Linked DNA regions of Saccharomyces cerevisiae S288C. The protein of the gene in region 3 interacts with the protein of the main gene of each other region in a pairwise test. Each region holds a gene or a part of one and is shown on either strand. Other genes may lie near its edges.

Evidence for each region.
Region 1: the proteins of SEN1 (region 3) and RNT1 interact in a two-hybrid assay, tested with the Saccharomyces cerevisiae proteins (3 studies listed by BioGRID).
Region 2: the proteins of SEN1 (region 3) and RAD2 interact in binary tests that used the Saccharomyces cerevisiae proteins (3 or more experiments, as listed by UniProt).
Region 4: the proteins of SEN1 (region 3) and NAB3 interact in binary tests that used the Saccharomyces cerevisiae proteins (3 or more experiments, as listed by UniProt).

The regions. Positions count from the first base shown.
Region 1 is NC_001145.3:747,751-751,608, forward strand, and holds RNT1 (ribonuclease III), read right to left. Parts: upstream 1,928-3,858; coding exon 512-1,927; downstream 1-511. Other genes in the region: U2 snRNP complex subunit CUS1, read right to left, coding at 2,180-3,490. UniProt on the Saccharomyces cerevisiae protein: DsRNA-specific nuclease that cleaves eukaryotic pre-ribosomal RNA at the U3 snoRNP-dependent A0 site in the 5'-external transcribed spacer (ETS) and in the 3'-ETS. In vitro, cleaves synthetic 5'-ETS RNA A0 site in the absence of snoRNA or other factors.
Region 2 is NC_001139.9:1,007,155-1,012,690, reverse strand, and holds RAD2 (ssDNA endodeoxyribonuclease RAD2), read left to right. Parts: upstream 1-1,924; coding exon 1,925-5,020; downstream 5,021-5,536. Other genes in the region: TNA1 (Tna1p), read right to left, coding at 1-206; MTM1 (Mtm1p), read left to right, coding at 5,386-5,536. UniProt on the Saccharomyces cerevisiae protein: Single-stranded DNA endonuclease involved in excision repair of DNA damaged with UV light, bulky adducts, or cross-linking agents. Essential for the incision step of excision-repair.
Region 3 is NC_001144.5:991,727-999,446, reverse strand, and holds the start of SEN1 (DNA/RNA helicase SEN1), read right to left. Parts: upstream 6,014-7,720; coding exon 1-6,013. Other genes in the region: CRN1 (coronin), read right to left, coding at 6,715-7,720. UniProt on the Saccharomyces cerevisiae protein: ATP-dependent 5'->3' DNA/RNA helicase required for the expression and maturation of diverse classes of non-protein-coding RNAs like precursor tRNAs, rRNAs and small nuclear (snRNA) and nucleolar (snoRNA) RNAs.
Region 4 is NC_001148.4:184,817-189,480, reverse strand, and holds NAB3 (Nab3p), read left to right. Parts: upstream 1-1,755; coding exon 1,756-4,164; downstream 4,165-4,664. Other genes in the region: GUP2 (putative O-acyltransferase), read right to left, coding at 1-327; COA2 (Coa2p), read left to right, coding at 968-1,174. UniProt on the Saccharomyces cerevisiae protein: May be required for packaging pre-mRNAs into ribonucleoprotein structures amenable to efficient nuclear RNA processing. Binds to poly(A)+ RNA. Appears to act in the maintenance of CLN3 mRNA levels.

The DNA.
Region 1 (3,858 bases), on a different chromosome or scaffold from region 3:
AAAATTTTATTGTATTCTAATATTTAGGCTATCCTTTTCTTTCAGTAAAAATGTTTATGTGCTACATACAAAACCCTTCATGATCAAAAACTGATTAAAATTTAGAGAGGAACAATTGTTTTTAAAAAAAATACTAAAAAACACTCACGATGGGGGTCGAACCCATAATCTTCTGATTAGAAGTCAGACGCGTTGCCATTACGCCACGCGAGCTAGTCATATGTTTCTTTCGTCTTTTTCATCTGATGACATTCTAGTGGAACATTTATGGTAAGATACCGATTCCATTTTAAGGATTTCTATACCCTCGAGGAGAACTTCTAGTACATACATAATTTTATAGCTTTGACCAACAATGGAATCCCAAAAATTATCAAATTTTTTATCAAATATTCAAATATATCAAATATTCTAATGTTTTATAAACGTTTTATGAATGACATATATGCGATAATTATATGGCTAAAGAAAATCAATGCAAGTTCCATCATGGTTGTGTAAAAGGAACGTTTCAGCTTGTATCTGAGAATTTTCTTTTCTTATTCTTTTGTGAGGGATCTTTTAACACAGATTCACTCCTAGGAATGGCAGCTCTTTGTTTGGCGTAAAAATCTAACATTTTTTTGTCACGAAGAGCATTTTCTGCAGCCCTAATACCCGCAATTTTGATATTTCTGCCCACACCGGTCCCTAAAACTGTTCCATCACCTACTCTGCACTCAACTATGGAATTAGGATCAACTGCAGTGGGTTTTTTTACGGTAACATAATGTAGACGTAATGAAGCATAGCCAATCAAAGAGTAAAGCTGCCTTTTAGCATTCATATCAAGTTTATCCGTCTTCTCCAAGGCAACTTGATTACGGGTAGCCTCCTCAATGACAGGTTTGGCAAGCTTTCTTAACCATTTTCTTATTTTGGGCAAATTATTCCTTGGATCATCTTCCATCAAGCCGCCAATGTAAGCTTCGAACACATCTGCATACAGTTTTAGTTTGCCGTTTTGAAAATTGGAATTTTCATCCTTCAAGTCAAAATTTGTCTTAAGTTTCTCATGGAAATTGTACATTATTGACCATTGTTTGATCTGTTCGTTGCTTACCAAATTCATCCTTAATGTTGATAACTGACCCTCGCTGTAATCGGGAAACTTGTTATAAATAATTAATGTCATAACAGAATTTAAGATCGAATCGCCTAGGAATTCTAGTCTTTCATTATGTGCGTTGATCATTTCTGATCCAGACAAGTAAACTTTATCCTTTATTGTGGATTTGTGAATAAATACCCTGGCCCTAATCGCTAAATCTTGAATCTCTGGTAATTTTGGAGGCCATTTTGTTGCCTTGACGATATCACCAGCCTTTGTTGGGTCATAGCTATCTTCTCCTTCGTCTTCTTCTTCATCTTCCTTTTCATTTAAATTTTCGTACACATTTACATCTATTTTCTCTCGCTTTTCCCTTTTAACTTGTTCTAGCTTCTCTAACTTTTCCATATCAGCTTTACTGATTTCTTGCAATATAGGTTGCTTTTGTTCAGTATCAAATTCATTTTCATAATCAGTAATTTCTGTCAAAATTGCGTCTTTTTTAAGATCATGTAAGGTTTTTAATTCAGCTGCCAGTTTTAATTGATAACGTGATAGAGAAGGAAGTATCTGAACAGGCACTCTATCTTGATTGTTAACGGCTTCATTGTAAGCTACCAAATTTGGTGAAAGTTCAATTATTTTATTGTAAGACTCCACCAATTTTGTCACAGCATGTTCTAGTTGAATCACCTCAAGATATTTGTAATTTGATATCTTAAGGTTGCCTTTCAAAAGCGTCTTGGTATTGATATTTTCGCGCTGCTGTGAACCATTTTCGTTATCTAGTTTATTATCATTCTGGGTTTTCTTTTTACCTGCTACTTTTGAGCCCATTGTTTTGAAAAGCTTGTAAATAGGACAGTTTTGCTCTCTTCTATATGCGCATTTACTTGCCTCACTTTGATCGAGCAGGATTCTCCTGAGAGTGACTATATGACCTGATAATGAGATAAATTTTGCGATGAGCTCATGAAAAATTTCAGCATGGTTTAGGGCCGCATTTAAAAAAGAAAAAAACTCGTACGTGAGAAATAGTACCACATGTAAAATTTTGTAAAACTGAAGTACCTATGCGATATTTAGTAGTTATTTCAATACAGTATATAGTTGCTTCTCCGATTCCTCTTCGTTTCTCTCAAGTTTTTCTTCTGCGCTTGTCACTTCGGATATGTCTTCCTGGAAGTGATCTAACTTATGCTCTACTTCATCATCGATTTTGTCATCTTGGCGCCCATTTTCCGCATTCGCCTGTGTATCCTCTTTTGAATTTTCAAATTCAGGGGTTTCAAATGAGATCAATGCGCCAAAATAGTTTCTACCCTGTTTCTTGGACCTTGAATGGTGATTAGGGATTATTTTTCCGTAAACGTCGCCTTTTAAATTCGTTATATCCCAATTCAAGCCGGCAATTTTCAGATCAGGATATCCCGTAGGTAATCCAATGTCTTTCATCTTCATACACCATGGTGGTAGTTGACCTTCGGGTAAATTCATTATGGCACGAAGCTCTTGGCTAATTCTCCCCGGTCTCTTATGATCAACCATTCTTTTCCAGTTCGTTTCCTCGAAAAGATTCCTATTTTCATAATAGACGTCACCGAAGCATAACAAATGGTCAGGTTTCCAGTTGGCTCCTATCTTGAAAAACACATCGTGTAACTTCTTGTAATCCAAATCCAAGGCGCCCATTTTCGGCTGCACTCTTGCTCTTGAGGCCTCCTTTAGTGACTTTTCATCTTGACCATCCAGTCCGCTTTGCGGAAGCGTCGATCTCATTTGTTCTATATTTGTCTTCTTGATAATGTCAGGAAGTTCAAAAGGTCTTTTACCTAACAGAGAACGGCCAGATAGATATTCCTTCTTGGACTGCCAGTGGCTTGGAACAGGAATGACATTTTTGGTGCACTTAATTGACGCTAGTAAGCCTGGATATCTTGCGTCACAATCGTACCATTCTATAATTTGAGGATACGGTACCTGGCTTTTTAACTGCGAAAGTGAAGGTTTTTCAGTCTTCCTACGTTTTCTTGCCGATAGATGCTCCTCAATACCATCCGAGGGTGTATCCTCCAATTCATCTTCTGCTGTATGCTTTCTGTTCATAACTGGGTTTTTCTCAACAATAACGACATGATTGTTCTTTTCATCTTTCGTGATTTCCTTCGGCGTATCATTCTCTTGCACTTGAAATCGTTGTAAAACGTCTTTGAACTCTTTTTCTAACTTCGCATCCACTACCTTATTCGTCTTTCCTTTGCTGTTAGTCACCCCACCCTTTTTCTTTTGCTCAAGCCTTCTTGCATCAATCATGGCGGCGATCTCAGCCTTATTATTTACCACAGACGCATTCTTATTTTGGTTATTTCCGGAACGCTTCCTACTTTTGGTTCTAGCCATTTCACCACTATCTTTATGATCTGATGCTCTGCCTATAGATATATACTCTGTATGCTACTGCCTTCTTAATACCTTTCTAAACAATACCAATATACTGTATTGGATTTCTATATGGTTGAAAGTTATTATTCTTGCAATTATAGCCCTGTAATGAAGCTGCGTGATTGGACCTGTGCCCTCTTCTTCCATTACTTACCCTATCACTTTTCTTTCTCAAGACCTAGGTCCTGTCGGCAAATTCCGCTGCAATAACGCGAAGATCATGACTTTTTTCACTCAGAAGGCAGAGAATCACGATTGATAAAGATCACGCAAAAAAAAAAGATGATTGGCTAAATGCATAGGGCGACAAACATGGGCCCTTCTTT
Region 2 (5,536 bases), on a different chromosome or scaffold from region 3:
TCCGTGGTAGTAGCCATAATTTCCCGTTCGGTGGCAAGTTCCGACTTCTTGTCATGGCTGCGATTATGCAAGCTAGCGTCATGGCCTTCATCTTCCTGGAACGTGACTTCCGTAGGCTTTTCTTCTGATCCATCATTGGTGGGTGATATGAAAAGCACATCATCCACCAAATGCTTAGGTGACTCCATTGTAAATTTGTTGCTCATCTAGAGGTAATGACAATAGTTCAATGCTCGAAAGTGAAGAAATATTTCTTTTTTTTTTTATATAAGCCTTCTGCGCAGTCGTTTTTTTTTCAGTCGCTGTCTCACGGGGGAAAATAGTTTGAAAAAGGCGAAGAGGGGGAAAACTGTGATGTGAATACGACTTCTAAGACAGTAAATATGGACGTATGCTTATAGCTTGGAGAGTTAGTTAATATAGAGAAATATAAATAGTAGATAAGAAGTACATATGAAACAAAAAAAAAATGGCAATAAAATAACAAAAGGATCTCGAGTAGGAACATACTTCAAAGAAAGGAAAACTCATGGTTTATATATTATCCAGAATTTTTAACGTAATCGGAGATGCGACAGATATTTCAGGGTGTATGGATGAGGTCAAAACAATACTAATCACACACGCCGCGAAGCCTTCGACGGTTCGTAACCTGTCCTCATGTGTGACGCATAGGATTCTACGGTAGATCCCGAGTATGCCCGGCTGTGATTGGTAACTATGATTGCGAGTAATAAGCGATCCGGCGTCCGGTGGTATTTTCTATTTTGTTGGTGCGACCGCTTCTTCGCAGAGAATGGGTGACTTGTAAAAGGAGAGAGACACTGGAAAAACCAACAGAATACGAGCAGGAAACTAGAAAATAAAAAACTAAAAAAAAAAAAAAACAAAAAGGAAAGGAAAAATTAGTAGAAGCCGGCGACGATTGCAGAATCCAGAGGGATACCGCTGTAACAGAGAATACGGGCACCCAGACAAGTGACTGGCGCCAGACTTTGTTATTTCACCTGGACCCGAATAATAATATTAAATAGTGATAATAATAATAACATATAGCATAAATAATAATGTACAAAATAATAATAATAAATAAATAAATGGTTCACCATGGACTGTACAGGCGTTCCGGAACGCACATAGTGACAGTACAAGACCTGGTTGTGTGCCATAATGGCCGGCATGTGAAATCGCGGCTTCTGTATATGTACATATCTGTTCTTTTACCATGTCGTCCATTTTCCGTTCACTTTAGCCAACACGGCGACGTTGTGCGGAATTGATTTGAAGTCGATTTTTTCTATGGAGTATTCCCAAACTGCCCCCAAATTTTGCAAATTAGTGCGCGGGGTGAATGGGTGCGTCAGAGCATTTACTGACACCTGGCGGCATAAGCAGCGACGTATCGTGTCCAAGGCAGGCCATAGCAAGAGCGTTTGTGATTGATTTTCAAGGCGCAGATACCATTGGAACACAGTAGCGCAGAAGGTACTCCTCAAAAGAGACAGAGAGAGAAATCAGAGTCAGGGAGCTTAGTAGCTGCTGTTACCAATATTATACAATAAGTAAGGTTTGCATATGCGGAAACTTCGCACTTGAATTTTTTTTTTTTTCTTTTTTGGTAGCTTTTTGATGTTTCCAGAGGATGTGAGTCAATGAGTGGTGTGACCCCAATACCACATTTTGTTGCTGTTTTTTTTTTTTCATTGTTAATTATCACTATTTTTTTTTCTTTCTAGTATAACCCATTCGAACCTCCGTGGAGGCATTAAAAGGGAGAGTGAAAAAAAAAAAAAGAAAAGAAAAAGAAAAGATGCCGCCACATATAGAGACCTTAAAGGGATTGAAAAACTGTACGTAAATCATTGAAGGTTCTACACGTCATCCATGAAGAAAAGCATTTTCGGGAGAACGCCAAACTTCAGACATGGGTGTGCATTCATTTTGGGATATTGCAGGTCCTACGGCAAGACCGGTCAGGCTGGAATCCTTGGAAGATAAGAGAATGGCAGTAGATGCCTCCATTTGGATATATCAGTTTTTGAAAGCTGTCCGTGATCAGGAGGGGAATGCAGTGAAGAATTCTCATATTACTGGGTTCTTTAGAAGAATTTGTAAGCTATTATACTTTGGCATTAGGCCGGTATTCGTCTTTGATGGTGGTGTGCCCGTATTGAAAAGGGAAACAATACGGCAGAGGAAAGAAAGAAGACAGGGAAAACGAGAGAGTGCGAAATCCACCGCTAGGAAGCTGCTGGCTTTACAATTGCAAAACGGCTCAAACGATAACGTAAAAAACTCTACACCGAGTAGTGGCAGTAGTGTGCAGATCTTCAAACCTCAGGACGAGTGGGACTTGCCCGATATACCGGGATTCAAATACGATAAGGAAGATGCAAGAGTTAACTCTAATAAAACTTTTGAAAAACTGATGAATTCGATAAACGGTGATGGACTGGAAGACATTGATTTAGACACTATAAATCCAGCATCGGCCGAATTTGAAGAGCTGCCAAAGGCCACACAGTATTTGATATTATCGTCGTTGAGGTTGAAATCAAGACTGAGGATGGGATACTCGAAAGAACAATTGGAGACCATCTTCCCAAATAGTATGGATTTCTCAAGATTTCAAATAGACATGGTGAAAAGGAGGAATTTTTTTACTCAAAAGTTAATCAACACTACTGGGTTTCAGGATGGTGGAGCGTCTAAGCTGAACGAGGAGGTGATCAATAGGATATCCGGCCAAAAGAGTAAAGAGTACAAGTTGACTAAGACTAATAACGGGTGGATTCTTGGACTAGGGGCAAACGATGGCTCTGATGCGCAAAAAGCAATCGTAATAGACGATAAAGATGCAGGCGCTTTGGTAAAGCAGTTAGATAGTAATGCTGAGGACGGGGACGTGCTCCGATGGGATGATTTGGAAGATAATTCCTTAAAAATAGTGCGACATGAGTCTTCTAACGCGACGACAGCTCCACAGAAAAGGAGTAACCGGTCAGAAGATGAGGGATGTGACTCTGATGAATGTGAGTGGGAAGAAGTTGAACTCAAGCCCAAGAACGTCAAGTTTGTGGAAGATTTTTCTTTGAAAGCTGCAAGGTTGCCTTACATGGGCCAATCCCTAAACAACGCTGGCAGTAAATCGTTTTTGGACAAAAGACATGATCAGGCATCGCCCTCCAAGACTACTCCAACAATGAGAATTAGCAGAATCAGCGTGGAAGACGACGATGAGGATTACCTGAAACAAATTGAGGAAATTGAAATGATGGAGGCAGTGCAACTTTCTAAGATGGAAAAGAAACCTGAAGCGGACGACAAATCAAAAATCGCTAAGCCGGTAACGTCAAAAGGTACAGAGGCTCGTCCACCAATAGTACAGTATGGATTACTTGGCGCACAACCGGATAGTAAGCAACCGTATCATGTCACAAATTTGAATAGCAAATCAGAGTCGGTCATCAAAAGGACCAGCAAGACAGTTCTTTCTGAGTTTAGGCCACCGTCTCAGCAGGAGGATAAAGGGGCTATTTTAACAGAGGGGGAGCAAAACCTGAATTTTATTTCTCACAAGATACCACAGTTTGATTTTAACAATGAAAATTCCCTGCTTTTTCAAAAGAATACCGAGAGTAATGTGTCCCAAGAAGCCACGAAGGAAAAGTCTCCAATTCCTGAAATGCCGAGCTGGTTTTCTTCAACTGCTTCCCAGCAGTTGTATAATCCCTATAACACAACAAATTTCGTGGAAGATAAAAACGTAAGAAATGAACAAGAAAGTGGAGCAGAAACTACCAATAAAGGGAGTAGCTATGAACTCTTGACAGGCTTAAATGCTACGGAAATATTAGAAAGAGAAAGCGAGAAAGAGAGCTCCAATGATGAAAACAAGGACGATGACTTAGAAGTTTTATCAGAAGAACTATTTGAGGACGTTCCCACTAAATCTCAGATTTCAAAAGAAGCAGAGGATAACGATAGTAGAAAAGTCGAATCTATAAATAAGGAGCATAGAAAGCCTCTTATATTCGACTATGACTTCTCCGAAGATGAAGAAGATAACATAGTAGAAAATATGATAAAGGAACAAGAAGAGTTTGATACATTTAAAAACACGACTTTGTCCACTTCTGCTGAAAGAAACGTTGCCGAGAACGCTTTTGTGGAGGATGAATTATTCGAACAACAGATGAAGGATAAAAGAGATTCGGATGAGGTAACTATGGATATGATCAAAGAAGTGCAAGAATTACTATCGAGGTTTGGAATCCCCTATATCACTGCGCCTATGGAAGCTGAAGCACAGTGTGCGGAATTGTTACAACTAAACCTTGTCGATGGTATAATTACCGATGACAGTGATGTTTTCCTATTTGGAGGTACAAAGATCTACAAAAATATGTTCCACGAAAAGAACTATGTTGAATTTTATGATGCGGAATCTATTTTAAAATTATTGGGCTTGGATAGAAAGAATATGATTGAGTTGGCACAGCTTTTAGGGAGCGATTACACGAATGGATTGAAGGGTATGGGTCCCGTTTCAAGCATTGAAGTGATTGCAGAATTTGGAAACCTAAAAAATTTTAAAGACTGGTATAATAATGGGCAGTTTGATAAACGTAAGCAAGAAACGGAAAATAAATTTGAAAAAGACCTGAGAAAAAAACTGGTAAATAACGAAATTATCTTAGATGATGATTTTCCTAGCGTCATGGTTTATGATGCGTATATGAGACCAGAAGTCGATCACGATACCACGCCGTTTGTTTGGGGGGTACCAGATCTCGATATGCTTCGTTCATTCATGAAGACTCAACTAGGTTGGCCACACGAAAAGTCTGATGAAATTCTCATTCCCTTAATTAGAGATGTTAATAAACGCAAAAAGAAGGGGAAGCAAAAAAGGATTAATGAATTTTTTCCAAGGGAGTACATATCTGGTGATAAGAAGCTCAATACAAGTAAGAGAATTTCAACCGCAACAGGTAAACTAAAGAAAAGAAAGATGTAATAACATATACTTATGTATGATTTACTATTTATAAACATTACCTTTGTTTCTGCATGTTAACAAAGTCAACCGATCCAGGAATAGTAGATATATACGGTCCTTTTGGTATCTTTGCGTCGGTGAGGTATGACACTTTTGGCACCCACCCAAACACGCGCAACGTTATTTTTCGCCATCTTGAAGATCTCAGAATAGCAATTAGAGAATAAGACACATTCTGTCATTTTTGCATATTTCCGGGAAGATCACTCCTCTGGAATTGGGGCACACTACCCTCATATTTGTGCCAGTTCACTTCACAGGAATCGTATGAGCCAAAGCCATAAAGTATCGTAGGAAAGGAAACGAGGTGTTGATAATACGATATGAGTGATCGCAATACAAGTAACAGCCTGACCTTAAAAGAACGAATGTTAAGTGCCGGTGCTGGATCAGTACTCACTTCTTTGATTTTGACACCGATGGATGTAGTGAGAATACGGCTGCAACAGCAGCAGATGATTCCTGACTGTTCAT
Region 3 (7,720 bases):
CCGAAAAACAAACGTGTTTGTTATTTTTCTTTTTACCAACAACTGCTGCTGCCTTTTTGTTGCTGTCCACATCAGGAAAAGTTTTAGGAACTACGGCACTCGGTACACTCATTCCACCAAAAATGGATGACTTTTTCTTTGTACCAGATGAGGTGCTGGGCGATTCTGCCTTCTTGTTATTCTTTTTCTTATCATCTGCCTTGGACTTTTTCTTTTCCTTCTTCTTCTCTTTCTTCTTTTTCTTTACAGCTTTATCTGCCTCTTCACCTTCATCGACAACTCTTCTCTTCTTTGTGTCCTTATTGGATTTTACCTCATCGGGGCCTTGCGTAATATATTCCATGGGTAGCTTATAATCATCTTCTTGCTCTGATGGTACGGGTACATTGAACTTTCTTAAAATACTTTGAGCTCTATTATTTCTGGGATCCAGGAAACCCGAGCAAGCATATGCAAGACAACTTCTATCTTTTGCATCTTCAATCAAATCTCTCCATAACTTGCTTTTAGCCAGAGACCTTTGATGTCCCAAAACCCAAATACTTGTCTTGGCTCTAGTCAGAGCCACATTCATACGACGAAAGTCCTTTAAAAAACCGACACTAGATTTCGTATCATCGGCACGGACACACGATATCAAGATGATTTCTTTTTCTTGACCTTGGAAACCGTCGATTGTATTGAAATCGATTGATTTGTTGATCATGCCTCCAAAATAGCGGGCAAACTCTTTACGCATTTTTTGCATTTGCTCTCTATAAGGTGAAATTATACCGATTTTTCCCGTGAAATCAATTTTATTATCGAATTTTCTGAAAAGGTAGTCAACTAACTCAATGGCAACACGTATTTCCTCCATATTTGTATAAGACATAGTCTTCGCATTTTGTTCTTGCCTACCACTAATGATGTCAAAAAATTTGTAGGGAGCTAATGGCTCAAGCTGGTGCCAGGGTCTTTTGTTCAAGATATCCATACCAGGGCCGTCTTTTAGTCGTCCCTGATAAAATTCAGAAGAGGGGAATTTACTGATGGAAGGATGCATACGGTATTGAACATCCAGCAAGTATGGGGAGCTATTTTTCTCCATTCTAACGAACAGTGACTGATTGTATTTAAAATTGCTTGCTGCACCTGAAAGAACAGTTGGTGGTAGTTGGTTAGGATCACCAACCATAATACAACGCTTCCCTCCATACCTGAGAGGAATAATTGAAGAAAGTTCGGTACATTGACATGCTTCATCTATAATGACCGTATCAAATTTAATACCCATTGTTGCGAGTACATCATGGGCTGAACCAGATAAAGTCGAACATATGATGTCACTAACCGCCAAGATATGGGCCTGTGCATTCCTTCTATCCAAATCCCTATTCCTATAATTTACGGAATTCTTCTCACGCATTTCGTCCCTATCACGGCCAAGTTCATTGATTATTTTACTTAGCTCCCTAATCTTAAGTTGTAATTTACTGATATCTTCGGTTGACATTGGACTTTCTGGATTACCACTCTCAGAGTCTAATTTTCCTCTCAATTCTCTTCTTTTAGTCACAGCATTATTAAATTTACGTTCTAGTTCCGGATCTGTTCTGATTTCGTAATTCCTTTCACCTATCCTTTTATCCACAAGTTCTTCTAAAGTAAGGTCCTTAATTGCAACGTTTACAACGTCTGACCTACCTACACGGACCAATTGAGGTTTAAATTGATGCCCCTGCTTGTCATACACTCCACTCTTCAGTCTGAGGCAGATTTCGTCCACAGCGGCATTACTGGGGGCACAGATTAGAATTTTTTGCTTTTTTAACAGTTGTTCAGTATTCGATGAGTTCTTTTCTAGTGGCACTTTGATGACATTTGAAGATGAGGCATTCTTTGTAGACAAAAAGTAACCAATAATACCCAGTATAGTCTTTGTTTTACCCGTACCAGGTGGACCCTGAATTAAAGAAAAACCTTCTTTAGATACCGAATTAACGATGGCCTCAGCCTGCGACGTATTGAGCTTATAGCTTTTCTTAACTGTTTCAATTTCTGCCGCATCCACATTTACGGGAGGCGATGGTTTAGCCTGTAGAATTTGGCCAACTAAGTCATAGTATTCCAGCCCTTCCAGTGTTGAATACTCTCTTTCAATAGTCGTCATTTGCATAACCTTCACACAATATATCTCTGATCTTAGTGTCAAAAATTTACTGAAAGAATGATTTCTATGAATTCGTAATGTGACATCAACATTACCACCTTTGGTATTTTTCAATGTTCTCACCTTTGCTAAACATGTATGTTGTGCTTTCTTGAAATCATCACTGGACAACCTTTTGTCTGGTCGAAAATCGGGTAAATAAGCCATTACAATTAAGTCAGATTCAGAAATACCACAATCCTGTATGACTTGTTTAGCGACAGAGGCATACACATCATAGAAATCTGACACAGCAGTTCGATTTCCTACAATAATACTGAAAGGTTTATAGTCCTCTCTATCACGTGAAGAACATAGACCTTGCCAAGATTCTAGAAGTAGTAAAGGCTTCATGACTTTTTGGTAGTCAGCAGGAGAGTTGAAGAAATCCTTTACGTCAGAATAATTACCAATAGGCTCATCATCAGGATATTCACTATTTCTGGTGTAATCCCATTGCAATATGATTTCATATAGAGGGTTCATATCAACATTTAATCTCTTTCTCATATGTTCTAACTCCTGTTTAGCCAATTCAGCCGCAGTTTGTCTCTTGACAACCTTACCATTAATATCGACAGTTTGTATTCCTTTGCCTTTTGCCTTAGCAATAGCAAAAAGCTCCCGAGCGCTTTCTATATCGTTGTCACTCTCCTCACTACTGCTATCGTCGTTTTTGTTAGACAAACCCCTACTCTTTGTATGGAAAGCTGGCGCACTAGGTGGATGAACAACTCTGTTGTTTAATAATTGCATCCTAGCTAATTCCATTTTGGATAAAGGCTTAACAGGTTTTGTACGATGCAGTTTAGCATTAGCTGATGATTGGAACGTACCAAAAGATGTTATTTTAGGCTGAGCTACTCTTGGTCTCCCAGTTATTGAAGAAGATAAAGCTTTTCTTTGTAAATAGTCTGCCCTGGATTCAGCAGAAGAACTAGCAATGGTTGAAGACAGAGAGGGCGAGAGGGATGGTGACGCCGGCACAGAATCCGTTAAGTCGATCACCTTCCCAAGTCTTGATAATTCCTTTTCTTTTCTGTAGTTTTCAGCTTCTGTAGCGACCTCTTCCGTGAGTGCTTTATTGAATATTTTAGCCTTTTGTAGAATCTCACTCGCCTGTTGCTCCGTCAACTTATTTGAAAATCTCTTTGCCTTCGAGGCGTACTTGGCCATCATTTCTACCAAGGAATCATCCACTTTCACATGCTTTTCATGTGCTAAATCAGACGTGCTTATAATTAATCTAACACAAGATTCCAAAAGTACTTCGTCGCTCAATCTCAGCCAATACAACATATTCTTAAAGGTTTCTAAAACGTTGAGAAGTAAATTTTTCGTTTGGTCATGAAGAATATCTGAAAATTCTCTAAAGGAGTCCACCAAAGAGCGACTTAGATCTAAAGTATCTTTGGTGAAATTTTCCAGTTCAGAATAGTCATATTTAGAAGCCCATTTCAAAGTAAACTTATAAATCGTATCCAAGAATAACCAACATGATTCCCAGAATTTTAAAAATTCCTTTTCGGTATTTTGGCTCTTCAAAGTTTGGAAATTAGCAAACACACCAGAAATCGGGTCTACAAATGCACTCACTACGTCCATCAAAACACGAACAGCACGGGGGCAAGGCTCATAGAATTCACAATTGATTAATCTTTGTAGCATCACGTTTATATTCTTCAAGTTAACGGTCAAATTACTATTCAGAATCGCTAAGATACCTTCCAGTCTACCCTCAACGTCAAATGTATTGTATAAAATATTAGTAGCTGCTTGATACAAGTGTTTATCAGAGGAGAATATGCAGGACCAAAAACCCTGCGATGCATCTTCATCCGCAAGGATTTTAGACAGTTGACCGGGCAAAATATCCGCAAATTTTTCCATTAATCTCGTTGATAGCAGCAAAAACTTCTGATTCAATGCGTTGTGTGCCTCAGCTACGGCAGTATTTGACGGTACTATCAAAAGACCATTAATATTTTTTAAAGATACTAGCAGCTGTTTGGCCAGCAATGGACCGTCATGAAAAGATCTCAGGTCAATTTTATTTGTAACATTTTCCAAGACGTTGGTTGAAATTGGAATTTCGCTAATTGGTTTACCTGAATAAAGCTTAAACGTTCGATGACATAATAACAGTATATCAAAATCGATACATTCTGCCAATACCATCATCGTGGATGTGGCCACCGATGCAGAAGCAGCACCTAGCCCAGGATAAAAGTCGTTAGGATTCGAAGCTGATCTAATTATTATGTCTTGGATCAAAGGATTGTTGAGCAAAGCTCTAGAATCTGTTTTAGTCAACAGTACTGTTTCAAATTCATCATTCTTATAAAGCATTGCCCTTTCATTTTCCTTAATAGTCAACACAGCCCTCAACAAGGCAGTTGCTGAATTCATTAAACAAGCTTTGGGAATGGATTTTAGGGATGGATAATTGGCTATTATACGCAGGAACGCCATTGAGACCTTTCTAACCATTTGAATTCTTTTGGATGGTGACAGTGCATGATAAAATGGTAAGGTCCAAGAAAGTAAATCGGTTACAGAACCGGTAAGTTGAAAGTAAACTTCTGTTTGATGCTCAACAATTGGATTGTCTTGAATTTTGATTAGTTTGATTGGGAATGAATCTCTATTGAAAATTATATCCAAAATGCTATGGAATGTGAAGGGTTCAATTTTGGACCAAAACTCGGAGCCAAATTTATTCAAGAACATTGTTAATCCTCTTAACAAAAAGTCTAGTGGCTTATCATGATATGATTTGCTTAAGTGATTGTACCACATTTTAAAAATTGGCTCTAACGGAAATTTGAATGTTTTTTTTAAAGATTCCACATTTTTTGGGACCTGAAAGTACTCTATGAAGACGTCTTTATCAAATAAATTGAAAACCGGTAGTAATCTCGACCAGAATTGAGATACCACAATCTCTGTCCAGTTTGCCGGATTCTGTAAGAATAAAATATGGATATAAACTTCCTCAATAATATCCGGTGTCAGGTTAGAAAGATTTATATGGAAATTTCTTGAGTATAAATCCTTTAGAAAAGCTCGTGACCACTCATTTTCCTCTTTTGAACCTTCACACCAGCAAAATATGACACCTGATATAAAGGTTTTTATGCTTAATGGATTCGTAACGTCCAACAAACGATGCTTTGTGTCGTAGAAAAATTTGAAGATTGCTTCGAAAGTAGCCTTAAGTTGCTTGTTAAGCCTCAACATATGCGGATTACAGAGACACTCGTACATTGCAGTTTCAATTTCATTTGTAATGTTAATTCCCGTATTATCGTTAACGGAAATATTTCTAAGAATAGGAAAAACAGCCTCCACCCTCCATTGGCATACGATGTCATTAAACTTGGCTACATGTTCATGCGGCACATGTCTTTGAATGGCAAAATGTTGTAACATTTTGCACTTCCCTCTCGCAAAATTTAGAATGCATTTATCACAAACAGAGAGAATTGGATTAAAATGATTCTTCAGCCATGTGGCCGTAGCTTCTTCATTGAATGAGAAAATGGTTAGGGAAAAAATTGATATTGGTTCAAGTATGGGGTCGCAAAATAAATGCGTACCCTTGGGAACTTCTGCTAGAACTTGTAATAACTCCCCTAATAATTTTGCCTCTTGAATATTTGGATTTGTGCCTTGATAAACTTGTTCAATCTGAGGAATGTAAGACTTTGCCTTGGTATAGACGGTAGCTAGCTGAACATCGCTATTGGGGGCAATATCCTTATCCTTATTATTATTATTAATGTTGTTGCTATTATTATTATCAGGATTGTTGGAATTCATTTATAATAAACAGATGCGCTTTTTTATATATATAGAGATAGATGCCATACAGAGATGAAGTAGAAAATAAATGACAAAGTAGAGCTTTTTTGTAGGTGTAGATGATAAGATTAAAGTGCGGGAAGCCTTTAAAGTGATCGATTATTCGTTCCTATGAAGCTTCGTAAACTTTTCTAGTAGGTTAATATGCAGGAGAAATGACCTACACTAGAGAAGAATGAGAAAATGAAAGCTCTATAACTTTGAAACAAAAGGAATAAAGTTGCAAACGTGCACCTACAAAATAAACCTAACCAATGACCTTTTGTTAGAATTCCTGATCTCATCAACTTCTAACTTGTGGTTAATTTTTCAAGATCCTAAAATATGCGAAGAAAAATATAAATAAAAATTCATTCAGGGTTACCTTTACTATGTAACGCGTTTTAACTAAAAGAAAGACTTATTTATGCTTGCATAAAACTATATGATGAGGACAATTATACATTGGTCACATAACGCTTAGTGTTTTGTCAAAAACATTCTTTTTCCTGTGGGAAAGCAACATTTTGTTTCCTTTTTTGTTAGTGGACAGGTGAACATGATTCACTTTCTAAGTGCATTATTATCGCCGCCGTCTTATGTACATTACATATAATCAAAATACATCTTTCCTATAAAAAGGACTCACTTAATTTTATCATTAAAAGTACAAAAAATTTTCATTTTGACAGTTCGCCAATTTTTTGTTCCAACTTTAACAGGCGCTCATCTTTGTCAAGATTTGCTTTCGTTAATTTATCAACTACATCTTCTAATTGCAGAACCAATGTAGATAGTTTTTCGACAGACTTTTTTAAACCCAATGACTTAGGTGATGTCCTTGCCGCGGATGGCTCTTCCTTACTGCTGGCAGTAATGGCTGTCTTAGCAGCCGTAATTGAAGAAGGAGGTGTTGCGGATTTTTCCTGCTCAGGGGACTTTGTTTTCTCAGAGGACTTCTCTTCTTGAGGTAAGCTTTGCTCCTGTTTTCTATCTGTTGCGATAGACACTGGCTCTGGCTTCAATTCTTTTGAAGGTTCGACCTTAGGTGTGCGATCCTTTTTAGTTTCTGTTGGAGTGACTGGGGTTTCGATTTTGATAGGAGCTGGCTCATCATCGGCTTCTTCCCATCCGGAGGTATCCCTAGACGGATCTTCGGCGTTGTTAACTTGATCAATATCGGAGGATTTCTTCAACAACTTGTTGATCGAATTATCTTCCTTTAATACATGGTTGATTGTAGAAGATGAGGAGGCCGACTTTAGCGGTGAGGGAGATTTTGGAGCTTCTTGTTTCACCTCCTTTTCGGATTCGCTGATTGGCTTCTCCACTTTAGGCTGCTCCTTTTTCTCTTCAAGAGCTGTTTCTTGAGTTGTTGGCTGTTGAGGTCTTTTAGCCTCATGAAAGCTTGGTGCGGAACCGTCATAGATAGATCTCATACTAACGAGAATTGGACCTTCAACAGACTTGCCAGAAAACCACTCTTCAGCAGTTAAAGCTGGCTTATTGGAAGGTGCATCCGGGTAGATATCTTCTTGGAACTCCTCTGATCTCCTTGGAACAAAGAAAGATACCGGTTCGATACGCTGATCAACGACAGTCTTGAAACCTTTTAAGACTTCGTTTTCTTTGACGTTCACCATTCGCTTAGGCGCTACAGCAAAGCCTCTCTGTGCTTCTGTGGAT
Region 4 (4,664 bases), on a different chromosome or scaffold from region 3:
CAGTCCGCTGAATTTATAGTAGTTTGGATTAGACTCGGAGCTCGTAGCCAATGCCGCCTTTATCATGAAAGGAACTACTACGGTGAACGCCAAATAATATAGTCTAAATTCCCATGTATTCCATAGCGGAGGAGATGGGCTATTAGAGCTGAGCACAGGGTTACGGGTAACAGTAACGGCACTAGAAGATGAACCATTCTCTTCTTTAGATGAATTGATAAATATCCTTTGTCGCCTTTTGAATTCAATGTCTGGCTTTATTCGTGAATCAAGTGCCTGCACGGAAAAGAAATGTACGATGCAACTCCAGATTCTTAACATCGACATCTGACTTGTAGCGATGACGTCAATTATTTTTGAGCCCTATAATAAGGTAGTTGAGAAGACAAATTTGAAGCACCCAAAAACCCTCAAAACAGTACCTACCTCAAAGCTAGCTTCTCTTTCTTCTTCTATTTGACTTCATTTTTTCCATATTCACCATTGGTACCTTCCATAAACAACTATAACGCAGTACAAATGAAAAAAGAAGAAAAAAAAAAGAAAAAAAAAGAGACCTAAACGCGCCAAGATTACAGGTAAACGAGTAGAACTTTGATCTATGTGCCTGAAAACCCCTCGGGCACAGGGTTCATAACGAAAAAAAAAAAATCGTAAGTAATGGTAACCATAGTAACCGATGCATGGGTTTTAAAAGTCACGTGCTTAAGTCCATTAAGACCGGAAACCTCTACACCAGTTCTCCTTCTGCAAGGGTTTTCTTTTTTTATTTTTTTTGATGGGATGGCTCTCTTTCCCCGTGTTTGTACTTTTGATATATATAGGATATTCATCAAAACAGCGTTTCGAACTCAGCGCTTGCACGATAACATAAGCACCTCGAGACACATTAGGAAAATTTAACATCCTATTTATTTATTGAATTTACAGGCACGGAAGGCCAATTAGTTTAATTCAGACACATATCATGAGAGCAGTCACTAGAAACAAAATAGTCAATAACCTATACTTTTCTACATTTCTCATTGCATTCGCATCAGTGGCCATCGGTTCTGTGCTGCCATGTCCAGCACATTCAGTGGATTCTGATTCACCAGCTGTACAGCAACACAAGCTTCAGCTTGCTCATGAGCAGGAGTTAAAGAGGAAGGATGCTTTAAGTAAAAAGATTTAAACAGGTACGGGCTATCTGGAACTTTTGATAAGTTGTATTCTATCTCTTTTATTTCCTCTTTTTATTTATTTTCGAGTGCCGTAATCTTCGCTACTTCAAGTTTCATAATCAATCGACTTTCTGTATGGGTAAGCATCTGGTGTGATGCAGTTTCATTATGACACCACAAATACAAAAGAGACTATTTAAATATGTATATAGATCACATTCCAAAAAAGAAAACCATTAATAATATCACTCTTTAATATTCCAAATTGAAACGAAAAAGCGCTATTCTTATTCGCTTCCTAACTACCGCCCTAGTTCGTGCTTGCATTTTTTTGTAGAACGATAAATTATGGTATCCCACGTGATTGAGTGTAACCCTGAATTGTTGAAGAGAAAATGAAGCGGAAGAAGCAAAGGACAAAAAACAATTCATTTGATTTTGCCACTTCTAAATGAAGGTCTAATAAAAGCTATCTTGAGCATCTTTATTAGATTCTGCACAGCAACAAGCGATTTTCTTTGGTCAAAATATAATAATTGACTTACGTTTTTCCCGGACTGTCCTTTCATAATATAATAACCATCTGCAAGCCATGTCAGATGAAAACCATAACAGTGATGTTCAAGATATTCCTTCACCTGAACTATCCGTCGATAGTAACTCTAACGAGAATGAATTGATGAATAACTCAAGCGCAGACGATGGAATCGAATTTGACGCCCCAGAGGAAGAAAGAGAAGCCGAAAGGGAGGAGGAAAATGAAGAACAACACGAACTGGAAGATGTGAACGATGAAGAGGAGGAAGATAAGGAGGAAAAAGGAGAGGAAAACGGGGAAGTAATAAACACAGAAGAAGAAGAAGAAGAAGAACATCAACAAAAAGGCGGAAATGATGATGACGATGATGATAATGAAGAGGAAGAAGAGGAAGAAGAGGATGATGACGATGATGATGATGACGACGATGATGATGAAGAAGAAGAAGAAGAAGAAGAAGAAGAAGGCAACGACAACAGTTCGGTAGGCTCAGATAGTGCCGCTGAAGACGGTGAGGATGAGGAAGACAAAAAGGATAAAACCAAAGATAAAGAGGTCGAACTTCGCCGTGAAACATTGGAAAAAGAACAAAAGGACGTAGATGAAGCTATAAAAAAAATAACTCGTGAAGAAAATGATAATACTCACTTTCCAACTAATATGGAAAATGTTAATTACGATCTTTTACAAAAGCAAGTCAAGTACATTATGGACAGTAACATGCTAAATTTGCCTCAGTTTCAACATTTACCTCAAGAAGAAAAGATGTCTGCGATTTTAGCAATGTTAAATTCAAATTCTGACACAGCTCTTTCCGTACCTCCTCATGATAGTACTATCTCAACAACAGCTAGCGCCTCAGCCACAAGCGGCGCAAGAAGCAATGATCAAAGAAAACCTCCATTGTCAGATGCCCAAAGACGTATGAGATTTCCTAGGGCGGATTTATCTAAGCCGATTACCGAAGAAGAACACGACCGTTATGCAGCCTATTTGCACGGTGAAAATAAAATCACCGAGATGCACAATATTCCTCCGAAGTCAAGATTATTCATTGGTAATTTGCCGCTAAAGAACGTTTCTAAGGAGGATTTATTTAGGATTTTCTCTCCATACGGTCATATCATGCAAATCAATATCAAAAATGCCTTTGGATTCATTCAGTTTGACAACCCTCAAAGCGTTAGAGATGCAATTGAATGCGAGTCTCAAGAAATGAACTTTGGCAAAAAGTTGATCCTGGAAGTTTCTAGCTCGAATGCTCGTCCTCAATTTGATCATGGTGATCACGGTACAAACAGTAGTTCTACTTTTATTTCTTCCGCAAAACGACCATTTCAAACTGAATCTGGTGACATGTACAATGACGACAATGGTGCTGGCTACAAGAAATCCAGAAGACACACCGTTTCTTGCAACATTTTCGTTAAAAGAACCGCAGATCGTACGTATGCCATTGAGGTTTTCAACAGGTTTAGGGACGGGACTGGTTTGGAAACTGATATGATTTTCTTGAAACCAAGAATGGAACTGGGAAAGCTTATCAATGATGCCGCATATAATGGGGTGTGGGGCGTTGTTTTAGTTAATAAAACACACAATGTAGATGTTCAAACTTTCTACAAAGGCTCACAAGGTGAAACGAAATTTGATGAATATATTAGCATATCCGCTGATGACGCAGTTGCCATTTTTAATAACATCAAAAACAACAGAAATAATTCTCGTCCTACTGATTACCGTGCTATGAGCCATCAGCAAAACATATATGGCGCTCCTCCTCTTCCTGTTCCAAACGGCCCAGCTGTCGGACCTCCTCCTCAAACAAACTATTACCAGGGTTACAGTATGCCTCCTCCACAACAACAACAGCAACAGCCATATGGTAATTATGGGATGCCACCACCATCCCATGACCAAGGATATGGTTCTCAACCTCCAATTCCAATGAATCAGAGCTACGGTCGCTACCAGACTTCTATTCCACCACCACCTCCACAACAACAAATTCCTCAAGGGTATGGTCGTTATCAGGCTGGTCCGCCTCCTCAACCACCTTCTCAAACTCCAATGGACCAGCAACAACTATTATCTGCCATTCAAAACCTTCCACCTAACGTTGTATCGAATTTGCTTTCAATGGCCCAACAACAGCAACAACAACCTCATGCTCAGCAGCAATTGGTTGGTTTAATACAATCAATGCAAGGCCAGGCTCCTCAACAACAGCAACAACAGTTGGGTGGATATTCCTCTATGAACTCATCCTCTCCCCCTCCTATGAGTACCAATTACAATGGTCAAAATATATCTGCAAAACCCTCTGCCCCACCAATGTCACACCAACCTCCGCCACCTCAACAACAACAACAACAACAACAACAGCAACAGCAACAGCAACAGCAACCTGCTGGCAATAATGTTCAAAGTCTATTAGATAGTTTAGCAAAACTACAAAAATAGACTCCCTTTTTTCAATCTTTTCCATTTCTTGTACATTATACTTGAATTCTTTTAATTGGACGAAAAATTTTTAAGGAAAGTAGATTGATATGGTTTGCATAAATTCGACATAGCGGTTTATGCTTTAATCGTTTTCCCTTCCCAAATTGGACTAGGACTTAATTCTTACTATTGCTGCATCTCTTTCAGAACGAAAAACTCTTTACCCTGTTATAAATTTCTTTTATTTCTTCCTTATCAAATGCTATTTGGTCTATTTATTTCACTTACACGCACCTCTTCATTTGTTTCCTCTGCCAAGAGAATGGCTTTTCATTTCTTTTTCTTCTCTTTAGTTAAATGTTCTTATATCAAAACTTTGTAAAATTGCTTTGTAAACAGATTATTAAGTACCGCTCTATTTACCCCATAACGAAAAGAAGTTCCGCGCTTAGGACACCTTTCCCTAGAGGTTCTTGTTTGATTTGTTTTAGTCATCTGCCTGTCGTTTATTTTAGTTT